Linked DNA regions of Arabidopsis thaliana. The protein of the gene in region 2 interacts with the protein of the main gene of each other region in a pairwise test. Each region holds a gene or a part of one and is shown on either strand. Other genes may lie near its edges. The genes, in order: FMO, AO, AT1G76210 and UBC17.

What was found.
Region 1: the proteins of AO (region 2) and FMO interact in a two-hybrid assay, tested with the Arabidopsis thaliana proteins (one large-scale study listed by BioGRID).
Region 3: the proteins of AO (region 2) and AT1G76210 interact in a two-hybrid assay, tested with the Arabidopsis thaliana proteins (one large-scale study listed by BioGRID).
Region 4: the proteins of AO (region 2) and UBC17 interact in a two-hybrid assay, tested with the Arabidopsis thaliana proteins (one large-scale study listed by BioGRID).

The regions. Positions count from the first base shown.
Region 1 is NC_003070.9:4,135,655-4,140,716, forward strand, and holds FMO (Flavin-binding monooxygenase family protein), read left to right. Parts: upstream 1-1,856; 5' UTR 1,857-1,972; coding exon 1,973-2,534; intron 2,535-2,761; coding exon 2,762-2,832; intron 2,833-2,948; coding exon 2,949-3,101; intron 3,102-3,208; coding exon 3,209-3,291; intron 3,292-3,406; coding exon 3,407-3,542; coding exon of another isoform or gene 3,543-3,686; coding exon 3,687-3,863; intron 3,864-3,965; coding exon 3,966-4,181; 3' UTR 4,182-4,504; downstream 4,505-5,062. UniProt on the Arabidopsis thaliana protein: Catalyzes the conversion of methylthioalkyl glucosinolates of any chain length into methylsulfinylalkyl glucosinolates.
Region 2 is NC_003076.8:4,766,278-4,772,701, reverse strand, and holds AO (L-aspartate oxidase), read right to left. Parts: upstream 4,440-6,424; 5' UTR 3,960-4,439; intron 3,587-3,959; 5' UTR 3,570-3,586; coding exon 3,442-3,569; intron 3,263-3,441; coding exon 2,911-3,262; intron 2,782-2,910; coding exon 2,539-2,781; intron 2,457-2,538; coding exon 2,400-2,456; intron 2,316-2,399; coding exon 2,235-2,315; intron 1,860-2,234; coding exon 1,798-1,859; intron 1,723-1,797; coding exon 690-1,722; 3' UTR 549-689; downstream 1-548. UniProt on the Arabidopsis thaliana protein: Catalyzes the oxidation of L-aspartate to iminoaspartate. Can complement nadB-deficient E.coli mutant. Plays a role in stomatal immunity.
Region 3 is NC_003070.9:28,594,443-28,597,576, reverse strand, and holds AT1G76210 (DUF241 domain protein, putative (DUF241)), read left to right. Parts: upstream 1-1,580; 5' UTR 1,581-1,694; coding exon 1,695-2,375; 3' UTR 2,376-2,627; downstream 2,628-3,134. Other genes in the region: AT1G76220 (hypothetical protein (DUF241)), read left to right, coding at 1-47.
Region 4 is NC_003075.7:17,200,185-17,203,502, forward strand, and holds UBC17 (ubiquitin-conjugating enzyme 17), read left to right. Parts: upstream 1-1,737; 5' UTR 1,738-1,784; coding exon 1,785-1,814; intron 1,815-1,917; coding exon 1,918-2,021; intron 2,022-2,097; coding exon 2,098-2,200; intron 2,201-2,288; coding exon 2,289-2,352; intron 2,353-2,434; coding exon 2,435-2,523; intron 2,524-2,610; coding exon 2,611-2,706; 3' UTR 2,707-2,804; downstream 2,805-3,318. Other genes in the region: D2HGDH (FAD-linked oxidases family protein), read left to right, coding at 1-111, 196-288. UniProt on the Arabidopsis thaliana protein: Accepts the ubiquitin from the E1 complex and catalyzes its covalent attachment to other proteins.

The DNA.
Region 1 (5,062 bases), on a different chromosome or scaffold from region 2:
ACAAATTCCTCACTTTAATTGTCGCTTAAATTGCATTTTGGTCTGAGAAAACGAAATATGTTCGTTTTAAGACATACCAAAAAAAAGTTTTGCACAAAAGAAAAAAAAAAGACATACCAAAAAACAAATTGTTGCATAAACAACTACAAAAACACATTAAAATTACAAATTAAGTAGTATATTTTTAAAAATATATATGAAAATATATAAAACATCTAATCTTTAGATTTAAAAAAAAAAAAAAAAAAGAATATATATGTACAACAATTCGACCATACCTAAGCGAAAACCTAATTGGTAGATTAGTCTTTGTGAAGTTCCAAGAGGTTTGATATAAATATATAATCTACGGTTGTAGTGTTTTGTCCAAAAGGCAAAAGTGTCCATAAAGCAAATGAAGAAGATAAAATAGAGACGTCGTTTCCATTTTTCAAACTACTTTGGTAAAGGGTTTGTTTGCAACTTGATGGATATTTTTCCGATTTGGCGTCCATAATTTTCAAAGAACAATGACGTAGTCATTTCATATTTGCCGTCTCCTCATAGCTTTTTACTAATTTTATAATATATATACTCAAACAGTAAACTTAATTTTATGTATTTTATTTTTGAACTAAAACCAAATATACATGATCAAACTTAATTTAAATCGTAAAAGAAAGCTCACTTTCAATATTTTGAGATGTAAGTATATAAAACTTACTATTTATAATCTGAAAACAGACCTTTTAAGTACTACTTATATTATATAAATAAACTGATTTCACAAAACTATTCGAATAATATTTTAGTTTACTTTTCAATTACTTTTATATTTTTGCTATAAAGAATATGTTATGGGACATAAAAATTAAAAATGTCTTATCTTTTCTCTTGATCTCTTCTATTAGGCATATATTACAAAAGAGAGATAACCGATGTGTCTATACATTAAAATGTTCATATATTAGCCCTTTCAGAAAGAAAAAAAAAATGTTCCCCCAGATCAAACAATAGTTAGCTAAATCATTGATTGGAAAGGTTTTTAAAAAAAAGAAGCTGTGCAAACTTTAGAAACAATTTTTGTTTTCTAAATTTGGGATATTACTCATAGTCTGGGATAAACAAATTGTTGAATATATTTTCTAATTTATAAATAAATATTATTCTTGGTAAGAAAATTAGATATTTGTGCATATATATGCAACGATATTAGTTTATATGATGTGAATACTGATAGGAATATTTTATGATGCCAATCTACATAAATATATTTATTCCTACACATATTATAACAGAAAAAGTTTCTTTTTTGGTATACCATGTTGAATAGTACACATGATCCTGGACACTGTTGGGTGATAGATACATTGGGCTGCACTTTAAAAGAAGTAACCAGTCTTCTTCAAAAACTAAAAAAGATACATATAAAGGAAAGTTAATTACAATGAATCATTAAAGCTTAATTAATGTTAATTCAATCATTTTTCATTAAAAATTGTGGAAGCACATCCACTTGATCAAATGATTTAAAGCTCTATATCATGTTTTTTTTGTAACAAATCCCATAAAATGTAATTGCAAAATTTTATCTGAATATCTTCAAATTTGATAATCAGTTTTAGTTCAAATTCTGGTAGATCAGTGATAGATTCTAATTTTTTTATGTAACTACAAGTTTTATAGTCACTTTTAGAGTGATACAAAATTCATTAAGTTCTTTATATTCTCTGATAAAAACAACTAAACATGACTCTCAAGCCTGAAGGTATGCTACCTACTTAATTGAGTTTAATATTCCTACGAGATTACGGAAGAATTGTCCACACTGAAGTGACACGTCATCGTTAGAGTTACCTTTTTCCTCGTATATAATATACACATCGTTATAATCGAAACACACCATCACCTCAATTCTCTCTTCGTTAACATTACAAATTTACAATCTCTTCATCTTTCTTCATTAGATCACAAAACTTCACTATAACCTAACATGGCAACGAGTCATCCTGATCCAACCACCTCTCGCCACGTGGCAGTAATCGGAGCCGGAGCCGCTGGACTCGTAGCTGCTCGTGAGCTACGTCGTGAAGGCCACTCAGTAGTCGTCTTAGAGCGCGGGAGCCAAATCGGAGGCGTGTGGGCTTACACCTCTCAAGTCGAACCAGACCCGCTTAGCCTCGACCCGACCCGACCCGTCGTCCACTCAAGCCTCTACAGATCCCTACGTACCAACATCCCTCGAGAATGCATGGGCTTCACCGACTTCCCTTTTGCGACCCGACCACACGACGGGTCAAGGGATCCGAGAAGACATCCGGCTCATACTGAGGTTCTTGCTTACCTGCGAGACTTTGCTAAAGAATTCGATATCGAGGAAATGGTTAGGTTCGAGACGGAGGTTGTTAAGGCGGAGCAGGTGGCGGCAGAGGGGGAGGAGAGAGGGAAGTGGAGGGTTGAATCGAGAAGCTCCGATGGTGTTGTCGACGAGATATACGACGCCGTTGTGGTTTGTAACGGACACTATACCGAGCCTCGTCATGCTCTTATCACTGGTAATAAGCAAAACCTTACTTGTGTCTTGAGTTTGTGTATTTTATATGTTCAATTAAAAAGAATTTTGTCGTAATATGATAGGTTTAAAAAAATTTCACATAAAGAAAATTAGTTTAAAATAGTAAGAATTCAATTAAAAACAGAGTTTTCTTGAGGGATGGATTATTCGTCAAACAATATCAATATTTAGGTTTTCATTTGGGAATAATATTTTTTTTTTTTTCAGGCATAGATTCATGGCCAGGCAAGCAGATTCACAGCCACAATTACCGTGTTCCTGACCAATTCAAAGATCAGGTACTTGCAGAAGAATCCCATCACTAGAGTGAATCTTGTACGTGATCTCATATATATCCACGTTTCTCTTCACTTTTAACTCTTGGATCGTTTCCTTTTTGTTGTGTAATTTGTAGGTGGTGATAGTGATCGGAAGCTCTGCGAGTGGAGTTGATATATGCAGAGATATAGCGCAGGTCGCGAAAGAAGTCCACGTATCATCTAGATCAACTTCACCGGATACTTACGAGAAGCTTACCGGTTACGAGAATCTATGGCTTCACTCAACGGTACACTAACTAACCGGCCAATGAATGATGTTGGTTGTTTGATAATTCAGTTACTCCATCTATAAGACGGTTGAATGATATAATATAGGTTACAACGTTCATTGTAGATTCAAATTGCCCGCGAAGACGGTTCGGTGGTTTTCGAGAATGGAAAGACAATTTACGCGGATACCATCATGCATTGTACCGGGTAAGATACATATCGGCTCAAATCTCTAAAAGAGATTAAACATCAGAACACAGAACATAGGAAATTTGAAAACGTTTTCACTGACTTGTTTTTATCTTGTTAATATCTTCATCAGGTACAAGTATTACTTCCCGTTTCTTGACACGAAAGGTGAGGTGACTGTTGACGATAATCGTGTTGGACCGTTGTATAAGCATGTTTTTCCTCCAGCTCTTGCCCCCAGCCTTTCGTTCATCGGCTTACCATGGCAGGTTAATAATCTTTATAATGTTTATGATCTGGCTTCTGTGAATACATTTGCTGCTTTTATTGCATATGATCTCATTGTTTGGTTGAGGTGCACACAAAAAAAAAAAAAAAAAAAAAGATCTCATTGGTTTAACTTGGTTTCTTAGATCACTCCCTTTCCGATGTTTGAGCTTCAAAGCAAGTGGGTCGCAGCGGTCTTGTCCGGCCGAGTATCTCTCCCATCGCAAGACGAGATGATGGAAGACACTAAGGCATTCTACGATAAGCTAGAAGCCTCGGGAATTCCCAAAAGATATACACATTTGATGCCAGATGACTCTCAGGTACACATATTTCGTAGCACAACATTACATTACAAAACATGTTATCATAAAAAAAAAAAAAGGTTGAGACTAAACAAATTTTTGGTTGAATTGTTGTTGCAGTTTGAATACGACAATTGGCTTGCGGATCAATGTGAATATCCCCGGATAGAGAAATGGAGAGAACAAATGTTTTACATCGGTTTCAAGAGAATATATGCACAATCCTCTACATATAGAGATAATTGGGACGATGATCATCTCATCGTAGAAGCATACGATGATTTCGTCAAATTCATGTCAAGTTATCAAGAACTTTTGCCGATGCTCAAAACCTAATGATAATTGACGTGGGAGTTTTGTTATGCGAAAATGATGGTTGGGTATATATATATATATATATATATGTTATGTAATTGTAAGTGTGTCTTGTGGTTGCTGTGTTTCAGAATGTGAAAAAGTAGAGTTATAGTCTTAAAAGGAATGTATAACAATAATGTTTGGAATGATTTTATAAAGGTATGTAAATAATGCGATGAGACTTTCATTAGCGAAAAAAGCAAATTTCCCATTTGCATGATTGTGCACTCATCATCCATGACGTCAGTGTGCACTTGTAACTTTCTGAAGACGACTTGACTTGTTTGCTGTGTTACACGGACCCACTAAATCTATTTTTTTTCTTTCTTTTCACAGAATATATATTATTATTATTATCAATTCCATTTCTAAAAGAAAATATTCCATTAAACATTAGTAGTAACAACATTGCTTAATATGACACGGATACAAAAACAGAGCATGAAAACAGGGCAAAATAAACAGATCTTTCTTTGTTGTCACTTGTTTTGACGAGAACAGAGCAAATGCATACATAGGAACACAAAGTTAAGATTTCTCATTAAAGAGATTCATTCATGAGGAGACTGGATTCTGGAGCGTGGTCATTCTCTTAGACAAGTAATCATCTTTTTACAATTCTATAGGATTGGGTTTGTTGTTTTGAGGTTGCAAAGATGGTTGTTTGTGTTTGTGTTTATGTTTCAGTTGGTCTAGCGTTTGGTTCGCTAGTGTTGAGTTACATACTATGATCAATTCCAATGTGCACACCACTTGTTTGATGAATTGTCTCTACGAATAAAAGTGCTATATCTATATTTCTCGTAGAAAAAATGGAAATGTTGCTTGTGAGTTTACTAACTGCCGTATCTGATTGCAAT
Region 2 (6,424 bases):
GTGCACCATAGTACTTCTTCACATTGTAATTCAGGATATCTTTATTCTTTGTTAAATCAAATTGCACGAGCCAAAACTATCTCCTGAAAATACCCTTTGAATTTCATTGTAGCAGAACGGCGATGGCAGCTGCAGAGCAGGCAAGACTTATGATCTAGCTGGTTTCTGGATGTAACTAGTAACTAGGCTGTTCTAAAGCGACATTGCAGAAGAGATCTCTGATTATTAATGGATGTGCCTTTGTGCAGCCTTCTCAGATCACACCCTGGTCTAGTTGAAGAAGACAGGAAGAATGAATTCATGTTTGGTCTGGTCATGGAAGCCATACCCGAGCTTGGAGCTCGTGATTTCCTCAGGAGAAGGATAGAAGCTTTTGGAATGATTTACTCAGAAAAAAAAGGAACCGAGGATATGGAGTCAGTGAACACAAGACTGTTCTCAATCCTGCTTCTTGCTTGGGAAATCCACACTCACAGTTGTTTCTTTCATTCAGAAAGTCATCAATAAACCATAACAAAGGAATTGAAATATGAATTACCAATATGATTGATATCTCAAATGAATAATTTATTTCCTTTTGTATTACAGAGTGTCAGAATCAGAGATTCCTTTTGAGATCCAAATTTTTTCAAATTGATACAATAATCAGAGAGGTTTGGATTCAAATAAGAACAAAAACTCCTGCAGTTTTAGCAATCAATAAGTGAGCTGCTACTTATATTCTGTAACCGCCTTGAGCTCCAACTAGCTGTTGTAGGAGAAGACGGTAGAATAATCGTCGGAATCCGCTTGCTTTCTTCCACAAAAGGAAAGTCTGTCATGTAATGAAGACCTCTGCTTTCATGTCTAGCTAACGCGCTGCTCACCACAAGCTTAGCGCAACAGAACAAGTTTCTCATCTCACAAGCTTCAAGAGCTACCACTGTTTGTTCCCATCCATGTTCAAACAAAAATGTTTCCCATTTTGCTTCTAGCTCTGCGATTTTCCTCTCAGCAGTGGTGAGCCGAATTGTCGATCTGACAATACCAACATACTTCCACATTACCTCCTGAAGCTCTCTTCTCACTTCTTTAGTCAAAGCTATAATCTTTGCTATTACTTCATCTCCTAGCAATCTAGCTGTCGCAACAACAGGCCTTGTCCATTTCTCTGATGCGCATACATCAAGTCTTGTGCGTTTCATGAGCTCAGTCGAAGGCTGAACAGCCCGTCTCGCGAAAACCAGAGCTTCTAAAAGCGAGTTACTAGCAAGACGATTTGCCCCGTGGAGGCCTGTACATGCTACTTCACCTGCTACAAACAATCCAAGGACATTGGTTTCGCCTTGTAAACCAGCACGAACTCCTCCACACATGTAATGGGCTGCAGGGACAACCGGAATAGGCTGACGGGTGATATCCAGACCGTGTTTAAGACATTCAGAAGCTATGTTCGGGAAATGGGCAAGAATCTTTTCTCTTGGCTTATGGCTTATGTCAAGTAACACATACTTTTCGTTTCGTTTCTTAAGCTGGTCATCAATACTTCTTGCAACCACGTCTCTTGGAGCAAGCTCAGCTCGTTCATCGTAAACAGGCATGAATCGCTCCATTCCTAGATTATAGAGGATGCCACCATCACCTCTCACCGCCTCGGTGATGAGGAACGCGTTTTCCCTAGCAGTTTGTAGTTTGATGGGAAGACCTTCGTCGGCTAGGGCAGTAGGATGAAACTGCACAAATCTAACCAAAAACAAATACAAAACATAAGTTTATTGTCAACAAGTTTCTTCAGTCGGTTTTTCGGTGTTCACTTACTCCATATTTGAGATCACAGCTTGAGCTCGATGAGCCATCGCCATCCCATCTCCAGTAGCCACCTATACAAAAACCATGTCGATAATTAAAATGGAGCATAATATATCACTTTTAGAGAAATATCATTGCGACTAGCACAACCGAATTTAGCAAAAAAATGTACTCTATGACTAAAATCTCTTTGTTTCTGCAACTGTTTGAACTATTAAATCTAAAACTCTAATGCAGTATGTTTGTGTATACCCGTGATAATTTCGACATTTTCTTTTGTATTCAAGGGATAAATCACATTACTTAATCAAAGTTTCATTTTTGGATATTTCCCATAAACACACAAAACTGTTGTGTTGATCCTGCACATTCTTTCTTCTGATAAAATTGGTAAAATGAAACTTCCATAGAGCTTTGTTAAAAAGAGAGTCTATAGAAAATGTTACCAGAGGATTTGTGGTTGATGGATAGATATGCCCAGCTCCACCTGAAGCAAGCAATGTCACCTTCGATATAAAGCGTACTACCTGAAGAAACATGAGTTTTTTTTACATTACAATCTAAGATATAAGGTGAATGATCAAACCACCAGAAACAAGATCTTTGTGTACCTCATTAGTTTTGATATTCAAAGTGTCCACACCATGACAAACTGTGTTCAAGCCATCCTGTTAAGATACAAAAAGATATGATCTGATAAGCCAATTGATCATATATGCACATGTGTTTTTCAAGGGTGTGAAGTGGAACCTGAGAAGTGAGCAGATCGATTGCAAAATGGTGTTTGAAGACAGATATGTTGGGATCATTAAGTACAGCTTCAAGTAAAGCTCTCTCAATCTCTCTTCCTGTCATATCAGCAGCGTGAACGATCCTACAATGCGAGTGACCACCCTCTCTGGCCAAATGCAAATTTCCATCCTCGCCGTGATCAAATGATGCTCCCATTGCAATCAGTTCACGAATCCTTTCAGGCCCTTCAGTACACACAACCTGAAAAAGAACATTCAGATACAGAAAAGTGAGACAGGTTTAGACCATTACAAAATGCTTATGCACGAGACTAACACAAGCACTTATCAAACAGTTTTGAGGTAATGATCAGCAACAAAGGGAACTTACTCTTACGGTTTCTTCATCACAAAGATGAGCACCAGCGACCATAGTGTCCCGCATATGACTTTCAACAGAATCCAAAGGGCATAACACAGCACTAACACCACCTTGAGCATAGTTTGTGTTACTCTCATGAGGCTCATCTTTGGTAATCACTGCGACTGTTCCTTGCTTTGCAACTTCTAAAGCATAACGCAGACCCGCTACTCCACTACCAATCACAGTGAAATCATAATACTTTGTTGAAGAAGATACCGAAACAGCCCTGATAGGTTTTGAGGTCTCACTGATGGGGGAAATACCACGAGAGTAACAACCACATCTCTCAGCTTTTAGAGCCTTAAATACCCCACTTGACCTATATGCACACAGAGATTATAAAAGTTTGAGTCCAGCATGAGAAACTATAGGTCTAACTAGTTAAAGTTCTACATGAGAACAAAGAGCAAAATCATAAATGAGAAACATGAACCTCAAAATGCCAATTGCTACACAAAAGGGACAAAATTTGGGATTAAAGATTAAAAGAAGTGATACCAAGAGGGCTCTTTGAATGGATTTGCCATGAAAGTAGAAGCAGAACTCCATGAAAAAGCTTGTCCCCTGTAAACCTGCCCCGCAAGATAGAAATTATGAATGTTTCCAGTAGAAACATGAGCCGCCATTTCCGACCTTAAAGCTCCTACAAAAACATGAAGATTGTTGTCATAAGAAAACATCATCAAAACAAAACAAGAAACATTCTTTCTGTACAATATAAAATCAAAATGCATAGATCCATCATCCATGATGCTCAAAATCCAAAATTTGATTGAAGAACGATGAGAATTGAGGACAATGTGTTACTCAAAATCCAACAATAACCTTTTTTATATCGAAACTTCTGAAATGAACAACGATAGAAAAAAAGACATAAGAAATATCGCAACCGTTGTCTGAATTCTGGAATTTAGGAGCAGAGGAAAGAATTAAAAAAAAATGTGTAGACTAGATCACACAAAATTCAGAATCTACGTTGAAATGAAACCAAGTAATGAGAAACGCAGAAATCTTACGGAATCACGGGAGGGAGCTCTCTGATCTAAGCACGAAACGGAGAACCCACGCGAGTGTAGATCAATAAAACGTGATTCAGACTTGATTAAAAAAACGACTTTTCGCAAAGAAACAATCAAAATTACGACGAAGAAGAAGAAGAAGAGGAGAAGGAAATGAACGAAGACAACACAAATTCTGGTAAGAGTGTTTTATGTGGTTTGGTCGTCGAGAAGAGTCCTTGAAATTCGCGCCTTCGTTTTGTGTATGGGAGCCTCCCCCAAGTGGTGTTGTTGGTCTTTCTTTATTCTTCTCTTTTGTCACTTTTTATGTCTTTGGGATCTTCATTTTTCATTGGCCTTCTTCAGTTTTTCTTTTATCACATAAAAAAAAAAGTACTTCTATGAAATAAACTTTTAATAAAAAATGGAATTTATTACTGAGTTAAAAAAAATTGGAATTTATTACTAGGCGTGGATTTTTAAAAAATTAGTGTATAAGATGATAATTTACTTATAGAATATTTCCCAGCTTTCTTCTACAAATATACACATTAATAAAGCCATTGACCCTACAAATATTCAAGTTTATTAGCCCTGTGGTTCATAATTTTTTAATATTAAGAACATTTATATATAAATAACAACGGTAGCTCAAGATGTGTGACCATGATTTTCCAAAACTAAAACTAAAAAAATAAATAAAGCAAATTAAATTTAAAAGAATTCTAACAACTTGTATAGAACTTTAAATATGTGTTCATACATGCACCAAGCATGACCGACTAGAAGAATCATGGAAAAAGAACATTCACTTTTCCATGACTCGTGGCCAATGCAAATCTCCAACGGCCACAACTATTTATTTCTATAACTATAATTTCTGGAAAAAGAAAAAAAAAATGGAGAAAAACTATTTGGATTTTGGAGTCTTCTTTTGAGTCTTTTTTTATACTTTTGATTTGTAAGTGGTGGCTTCTGAATTTTCCATCAGACAACTGAAAAAAACCTAACGAATAATAAAAATCAATAATATAAGACCGAATTATGATAACCATTCAAATGACAACTGAAAGAAAACAAATTAATTAAATAATAAAATTTCAAAAACCACGAATGCAATTTAAAAGGGAAAATGTTGGCATTTTTATGGCTATCATAATTTCCTTCTTTTCTAACTAAACATAGTGCTAATGGTTTGCTTAACTAATCAGGTATAACATCCACAATTGATGACATCCTCATTTGCTTCTATCGGAATAAACTGATTATCATTTGCTTCATCATCTTTAGACCTATGCTATTTTGGACCAGTCATGGTGTTGATGTATGCATCAAGGATGGCCTTATAACTAGAATCATGGGGAAAAAAGAACAATCACTTTTCCATGAGCCTTGCTAAATCTCCAATGGCCACAATTATTTTATTTTCTACAAAACTTACTGGAAATCACTTTGAGTCTTTTAGTTTTGACTACCGTTTTTAAGGGGAGAGATGACTTCTTCTGGATTTTTTATCGGACAACAAAAACGAATAATTAAAATTGGGCTTTTGAAAGGCGGGCCCAATACTGACCTAAGATTTTGCATGGAAATAAGCCCTGGATTTTCCAGAGGCCTAAATTAAACCCGAATCATCATGCAATTAGAATTGTTCAGCCCATAAATTTTTAATTTTTTCACACACATGAGCCGATGGCATTTCGTTGTGCTTCTTACTGAATTTCACGTCACGACTAAAACCTAGAAAATCAGCGAAACACATTAGCAAATACTAATGTTCGTCTCGTAGTTAGTCAATATCTTATTGGTAAAACTCGCACATATGTAAAAGAGCAGTGTCCTAGTTGTTCCTTCTAATGATATAAGATCATTTCCGCAAATCAAATTGCAGTTTCACCACGTAAATTAATGATAGAACCTCAACAATATAATTAGTATCAATAAGAATTAGCTATATTTATCATATTATATAATTAACATAAATAAAGTCTATTTAAATATATCATTTAGTTCGTAGCATAAATCATTACATGATTTTGAAAAGATGGTAAACTTGTGAATCACAAATTCCTTGGCCATGTATAGAATATCAAACCTGATATTAGAATCAAACAAAATTAAATGATAAGATTGTGAATAAATGAGTGTTAGGTACTTAGGTCCATCAAATTCCTCAATCATACATTCTACGACATAATTAATTATAACATTTATATGTAAAAATACACACTCCTCTTATATAGTTATGACAATAAAATGTTGTATATAAAATTACTACCCCTCTTATATATTGCCTCAACTTCCAGCGTTAAGAGTTTAATATGTCTAGAATTTTAAATGTGCCAGCTATATCAAAATATCATTGCCTCTGTTTTTCTTTCATTAGGAAGAAATATTTTTTTTAAAAAAACCATGTACAAGTATCATTGGATATGTGATATGCCCAAATAGATCATTCGAATTTTGTATGCAGAAAACTCTAA
Region 3 (3,134 bases), on a different chromosome or scaffold from region 2:
AACTGTTGAAGACAAGAGTTTCTTTTCTTAACATGCTTACTCTTTGAGATTGTATAGATGTAATTTTGTTCATTGTGAAGTATTGTTGGCTTTAGTTTAGGCAAAGTCTCTCAGATCATATTGATCTTTAGAACTTGTAAAACTTTGTGTGCAGCGTTCTTAAATCATATTCAAACGATTACTTGTCAAGAATACGAGTTCGAGATAACAATTATCAGCAGATCACTTCAGTACTCTATGAATATTTCATAAGTTTATAGTTATACAATCATGAGACTGATGAGTGTATCAGTTTTCTTATCAGAAGTTGTTGCAAAACAGAGTAAGGATGAATTTGAGATAATGGGCTTATTAATTGAGTTTCATGGGCTTTATTTTATGTTTGATGGGTTGTTTGCAAAAAAAATAGCTAAAGAAATTACGCAATAATGTCTTATTTTCTCTGTGTGTTTTTATAATCACGCAATAATGTCTTCTTATTTCTCTTTTTTTAATCACGCAATAATGTCTCTACATGATGATGACAACAGAGAAAATATAATGCATGGTTGATTATTCGTTATAATTAGTAGCTATACCTTCCAAACGGGAAATCGAATAATAAGATTGCTGCACTAACAACATAATAAAAATGAAAGCATTTCAGCATTTGGAGTTGGAGGGATATGAATCTAATTATATAATTTGTGGGAAGATATTAATTTGTTGAAAATAACCTGAGATATAAAGATCTTAAACATAAAATCTAATCCAGGATGTATTCATGCGTCGAGCCGTCGAGGTGGTTACCTGATTGATAGAGAAATTAGACATATAAACATATATGTATTAATGTATGCGTATTATTACTGTCCACGTTATAGAAAAGGTATATTGGTATTTGTGTGAAACTGTGAATATTTCGCTTGTCCAGAAACATATATTGAGAGGTTAACACGTAACACAATGTCACAATCGCATGTATTGCCAAAGATAAGTTCCGGTTTTAAAATGATTATTGATCATATATTCATATTGATCAAGTAGTTACCATTATTTGTTTTCTGTTACTGTAAGACTTATATTACTTTCTTGTTGGTAATTAATATATCCATTTAACTTGATACATAAAACATATCTGACAAACCCTTAACATAATATTTAAAGTCTGATCCAAAATCTAAACATTTCTCATCTCATTTAATATTCGTCCGTCTGTTCCAAATTGTTGCAATTTACCAACACAGCCTGGCACCGTCGCTCGTGCATGCATGGTATATAGTATATAATTAAACCTTAAGACTATATATTAGAATAAAAATCTTTAAAACTATATATTATAAATTGAAAATCTAAACGAATCCACAATGTACCCTAATCCACGAGTGCCTCTTACGTACAAAGAAGGTTCCTTGTGACATGTTTTGAATCATTTAAATCATTGTTTTGATAATACCTCCAAAATGAGCTGTTCCCCGGATGTCCCACGTCCGTACAAAAACCCAAACTTGGGAACCTTCATCGTACTTTCCCTCAGATCCTTCTTAACCTCTATATATAATCTCATTCTTACACACATTCAATATATCTCTAATCTTCGCTTAAAACTCTCAAGAAGCCCTAAAAACCATTCACAATTACATCAAAAAATACCTTTTCAAATTCTTTTTTTACATTCATAAAGCTAAGTATCTCGAATAGATTAAGATCTATCTATGGCTCAGATTAACTTTGAGGGTTTGAGAGAGCTACACGACTGCGTAAACTATCTCCTCCATCACTGTCCGAAAACAAGAGAATCTCTGTCTCAACAAGGACAAGAGAAATGGACGGAACAAGTTTCAGAAGCTTCATTGAGGATGTTAGACATCTGTAACGTATCCAAAGATGTGATGACGCTCGTGAAACACAGCTTGCAAGATCTACAACTGACTCTACGTGGCAACGAATCATCTGATGTCAACGAGAAGATAGCTGCGTATAATCGGTATAAGAACAAGCTCAAGAAGGAGACACTGAAATGCTTAAACTGTTTGAAGAACATGAAAGGAAACGAAGGAAGAGTGGCCATGCCAATAGAACAGAACCTTCTGTTTGTCACAGAAGTTTTGAAGGAAGTGAGAAGAGTCGTTGTGACGATGGTTGAGTCTTTGTTCTCACTTGGTTGTATTCCTTGGCTAGAGAAGAGATCGAGCAAAGGGTCTTTGTCTTCGATCTTTTCCATTCGGTCTTCCTATTTGTTAGATGATGAATGGGACGAGACTGCGGTGCAAAGCGCGACTACGAGGTTGGAGGCGGCGGAGATTACTGTAGTGGAGCTTGAAATAGAGTTGGAATCTATTTTCCGGCGATTGATTCAGACGAGAGTTTCACTTCTTAATATTCTCACCAACTAGATAATATATGATATGTCCGGATCGGTTAGGTTTTGCTTCAAGCGGACATGTTTAGTTAACATTAAATAGATTGATTTGTAAACTTATTTTCAAGTTTGCAACATCAAATTCTTTTATTCTATATAATTTATTTTTTTACCCGTTTCCTAAACTGGCTACTTGGATTAAAGACTTGAAGTTGAAGGCACACTTTTTGTCTTCACCAAAAATAGAGTCAAAATGAAATTGTTATTCAAGTAAAATTTGAATTATAGATGTTTGTTTATTTATTCACAATTCATGTTGCTAGAATAGACATTTTCAATTTGATGATTTTGCATATTTTTTTTGGTTTTCAGATATAGTTATAAAAACCATTAACAAATTCAGTTTCGTAAGTGTTAATTTGTATACTTAACACAGCGAATATAACTAATTTCTAGTGTTTCTTTGTAATTCGTATCATTGGAGGCTGGATCTAAAAACACGAATCTCGCAATGCGTTTTATTTCAAATTAATTTGTTGACAGCAAAATAACAACATGATCAGGAAGTGCAACACACAAGTAGTAACTTAAAACAGAAGCAGCAAGTCTTACAAAGTTGTGTACAAAAACAATTCACGTCTTCTTCACAGTTCTCTTTATTTCGACATATGAAGCTGAAAATTAAGAAAAAAACAAGAGACGATCCTTTTTTCGTCATGATCTTCAAAGGTTCAGTGAGACCTAGCAGCAAAACCCAAAACCAGATTAGTGTCAAGTAGTTTGAGCAATGCTT
Region 4 (3,318 bases), on a different chromosome or scaffold from region 2:
GAGCCTTATGTCTATGAGTGGACATCAAAGCACCGTGGAAGCATCAGTGCGGAACATGGATTAGGTGTAATGAAAGCTAATGAAATCTTCTACAGCAAATCACCCGAAACTGTAAGTTAACAACAAACAACGTATGGAAACTATGTATAGAACTATCGTGTCACTCTATTCTTACCGGAATATAATATTATGCAGGTTGCATTAATGGCTTCCATTAAAAAGTTGCTGGACCCAAAGGGAATTCTCAACCCTTACAAAGTTCTTCCTCACTCTCTCTTCTCCAACTAAGGTAAAAGATTATTATGCTTTATGATTACGCACCGAAATTATTGAAAGCATCTATCTTTCTATCTATGAATGCTCTTCCAACGTCAAAAGTGAAGAATCATCATCTTTTACTTTGGAATCATTGACATTCTTTTTTCGGCGAATGCAAGGGTGGTGATGAGATGATTCTTCAAACAGGAATTTGGAACATGAGCAGCCAAGTTTGAGCGATATGATTGATGCAAAGGAACAAAAATACAAGTGCTGATTAAAAAGTCTTTAAACTCAAAAGTGTATATGCTTCGCTTCTTCTTCTTTGTTGTTGTTGTTGTTGTTACCTTGTTTTAATATCTTTTTAGTAAAGGATAAGAAAGAATCTAAACCTATTGATCTTACGTGTATTTAAAGTTAAAATTTGCAGTGTATGTAGACCAAAACTCGAAAAGATAATCTATAATAATAGTATTTTCAAGAATCTTCACATAATATCTTTCTATTCTTGGAATTTCTGTTGTAATGGATTTTCTTATTTTGTTCACAAAAAGACTTTATTTTTATTTTTCCCCATAGTTCTGTTTTTACTTCATGTATTACCTTTCTTTAATGTCTTACTAGGAGAAACCAGATCGGTCAGATAAACCGGAATAATATCTGGTCCGATTGATTTGTATAAGTCTAACTAACTTCTCTAATTTAAGAGATAAGCTATAGATTTTAACATATTTGTTCTAAGTTCTACCAAGTATATATTCTTCTGAGACCTAAGTTGGACCTAACTAGATAGGAATATAAGATCCGTATTACCATAGTTCATAGACCATAGTTTCCATGGAACAAATGTGTACAAGTTTTGGTTTAAGGTGAAGCCAATGCATACAACAACATCATGCATCATAATTGTAATTATGACTAGTCAGTTTTGATATATAATCAAGTTGCTTACAACTTTTGTAACCATCGATCCATTCAAAATAATCAGAAGGACAAGGGCAATAAGACAATGAAAGCAATATATCATCGCTAAAAATCCAAGGCATCGTTGAATGATGGATCCATAAACCGGAAATAAATTAAAATAATGTTACAAGCCAACTTTTACCTGATGCATGTATCAATTCTTATTTTTGGTTAATATCAATAATATGCATGCATCAGTTTGGTTATCCTAAAATTTACATAACTCAGATATTCATAATGGTATGAGATTTTTAATTTAAGAAATTTGGTTTTCCGAAATAGATATTGGAATGTTTTATGATAATATTCCTAACTGGTTTGATCATGATCGCGAGAGTAGCAAAAGCGTGTAAGATTCGCTTCTCCAACACAAGTGGAAAGTCCCGGATTAAAGAGAGCCGACACAATAAAAACGACGTCGGATTGATGACTGGACATAGACCCAAACGCTTTAGACACATTGCAAAGATGATAAGACACTATAAAAAGCTCACTGGATATGGCTAAGGAGACAAAACACACACAATCTCTCTCTCTCACACTCACTGTAATAAACACAAATGACGAGTTCTTCTGAATCAACTCGCAAGGTTGGTTAATTGTTTCTTTAACTAAATATAACAGTACCTTTTTGGTTATAATTCCATTGTTGTCTTTGGTTTGATCATCTCTCTCTTGTTCTTACTATGTTAGGGTCTGACCAAAATCGCCACGAACCGGTTGCAGAAAGAGTTCATGGAGTGGCAAACCAATCCTCCTTCTGGTTTCAAGCACAGAGTCTCTGATAATCTCCAACGGTACATAATCATTTTATTGTCTTTCCTTCGAATATTGATAATCGGTGATGTAATGTTGAATTGTTGGTGTAAACAGATGGATCATTGAAGTGCATGGAGTTCCAGGAACTCTTTACGCCAATGAAACTTACCAACTTCAAGTTGAGTTCCCTGAGCATTATCCTATGGAAGCTCCACAGGTTCGTCCTCTAACTCCTTTTGTTAATACTTAACGATACTTAATCATCGCATCAATCTCATAACCCGATGGTTCCACATATAAAACAGGTTATCTTTCAGCATCCAGCTCCACTTCATCCTCATATTTACAGCAACGGTCACATTTGTTTAGGTAAGTACATACAAACACAATGACTCACTCTGTTTCAAAGTCCAATGACAAGACCCTTCTATGTGTTCTTTTGATTATGCAGATGTCTTGTATGATTCGTGGTCACCGGCGATGAGACTAAGTTCCATCTGTCTCAGCATTCTCTCAATGCTCTCCAGCTCATCCGTGAAGGTTTGTGTGTTTTATCTTCTTCTCATATTTCAAAGGCTTTCACAGAATAATCTTCTTCTTATGATGTTTATTGTTCTCTCCTTACAGCAAAAGCCGAAAGACAATGACCATTACTTGAAAAACTGCAAACATGGAAGATCTCCCAAAGAAACTAGGTGGCGTTTCCATGACGATAAAGTATAACATCTCCTATAATATTGTGATTACAAACGAATTGTAAGATCTCAGGTCGAGTTCTTGATCTGTTGCTATCTTTAAAACAAGAACAGCTTCTTTCTACAGTTTAACCATACGAAAAGCTTGAGCATAAAACTTGAAAATTTGGAAATAACATGATTCATTATTATATGAAAGAAATCATCAACTGTTAGTACAAACCAAGAACTGAGAGAATGATTGATCCAAAGAAGAGAGAACTTTGCTTCTAACAAGCCTTCGTGTATATTTGATAGAAGACAAAAATCTGTTTCTATCTCTAAAGAAAAGAGCTGCTGATGACTTTCCATCACATCTTACATTTGTAATAAACACTAGGAAGGACTACTCAGCAGAAGCTTCATTTGTTCTTGCTCATGCTCCATTTTAATAACACCTGCAATGTCAAAACCTAAAGCTTAAGCATATGAAGCAAACACGAATCATACAGATGCTAGAATACCTACTAAAAGTGTTTATAGACCAAGCAATTTCACATGTTTCCCAATAGACTACAAAAGCTATTCTAATTGCTCTTGCTCTGTACATTTCGACAAGAAACTTCAAAGGCCCTTCATGAAACTCAACGTCAAGCTCAGA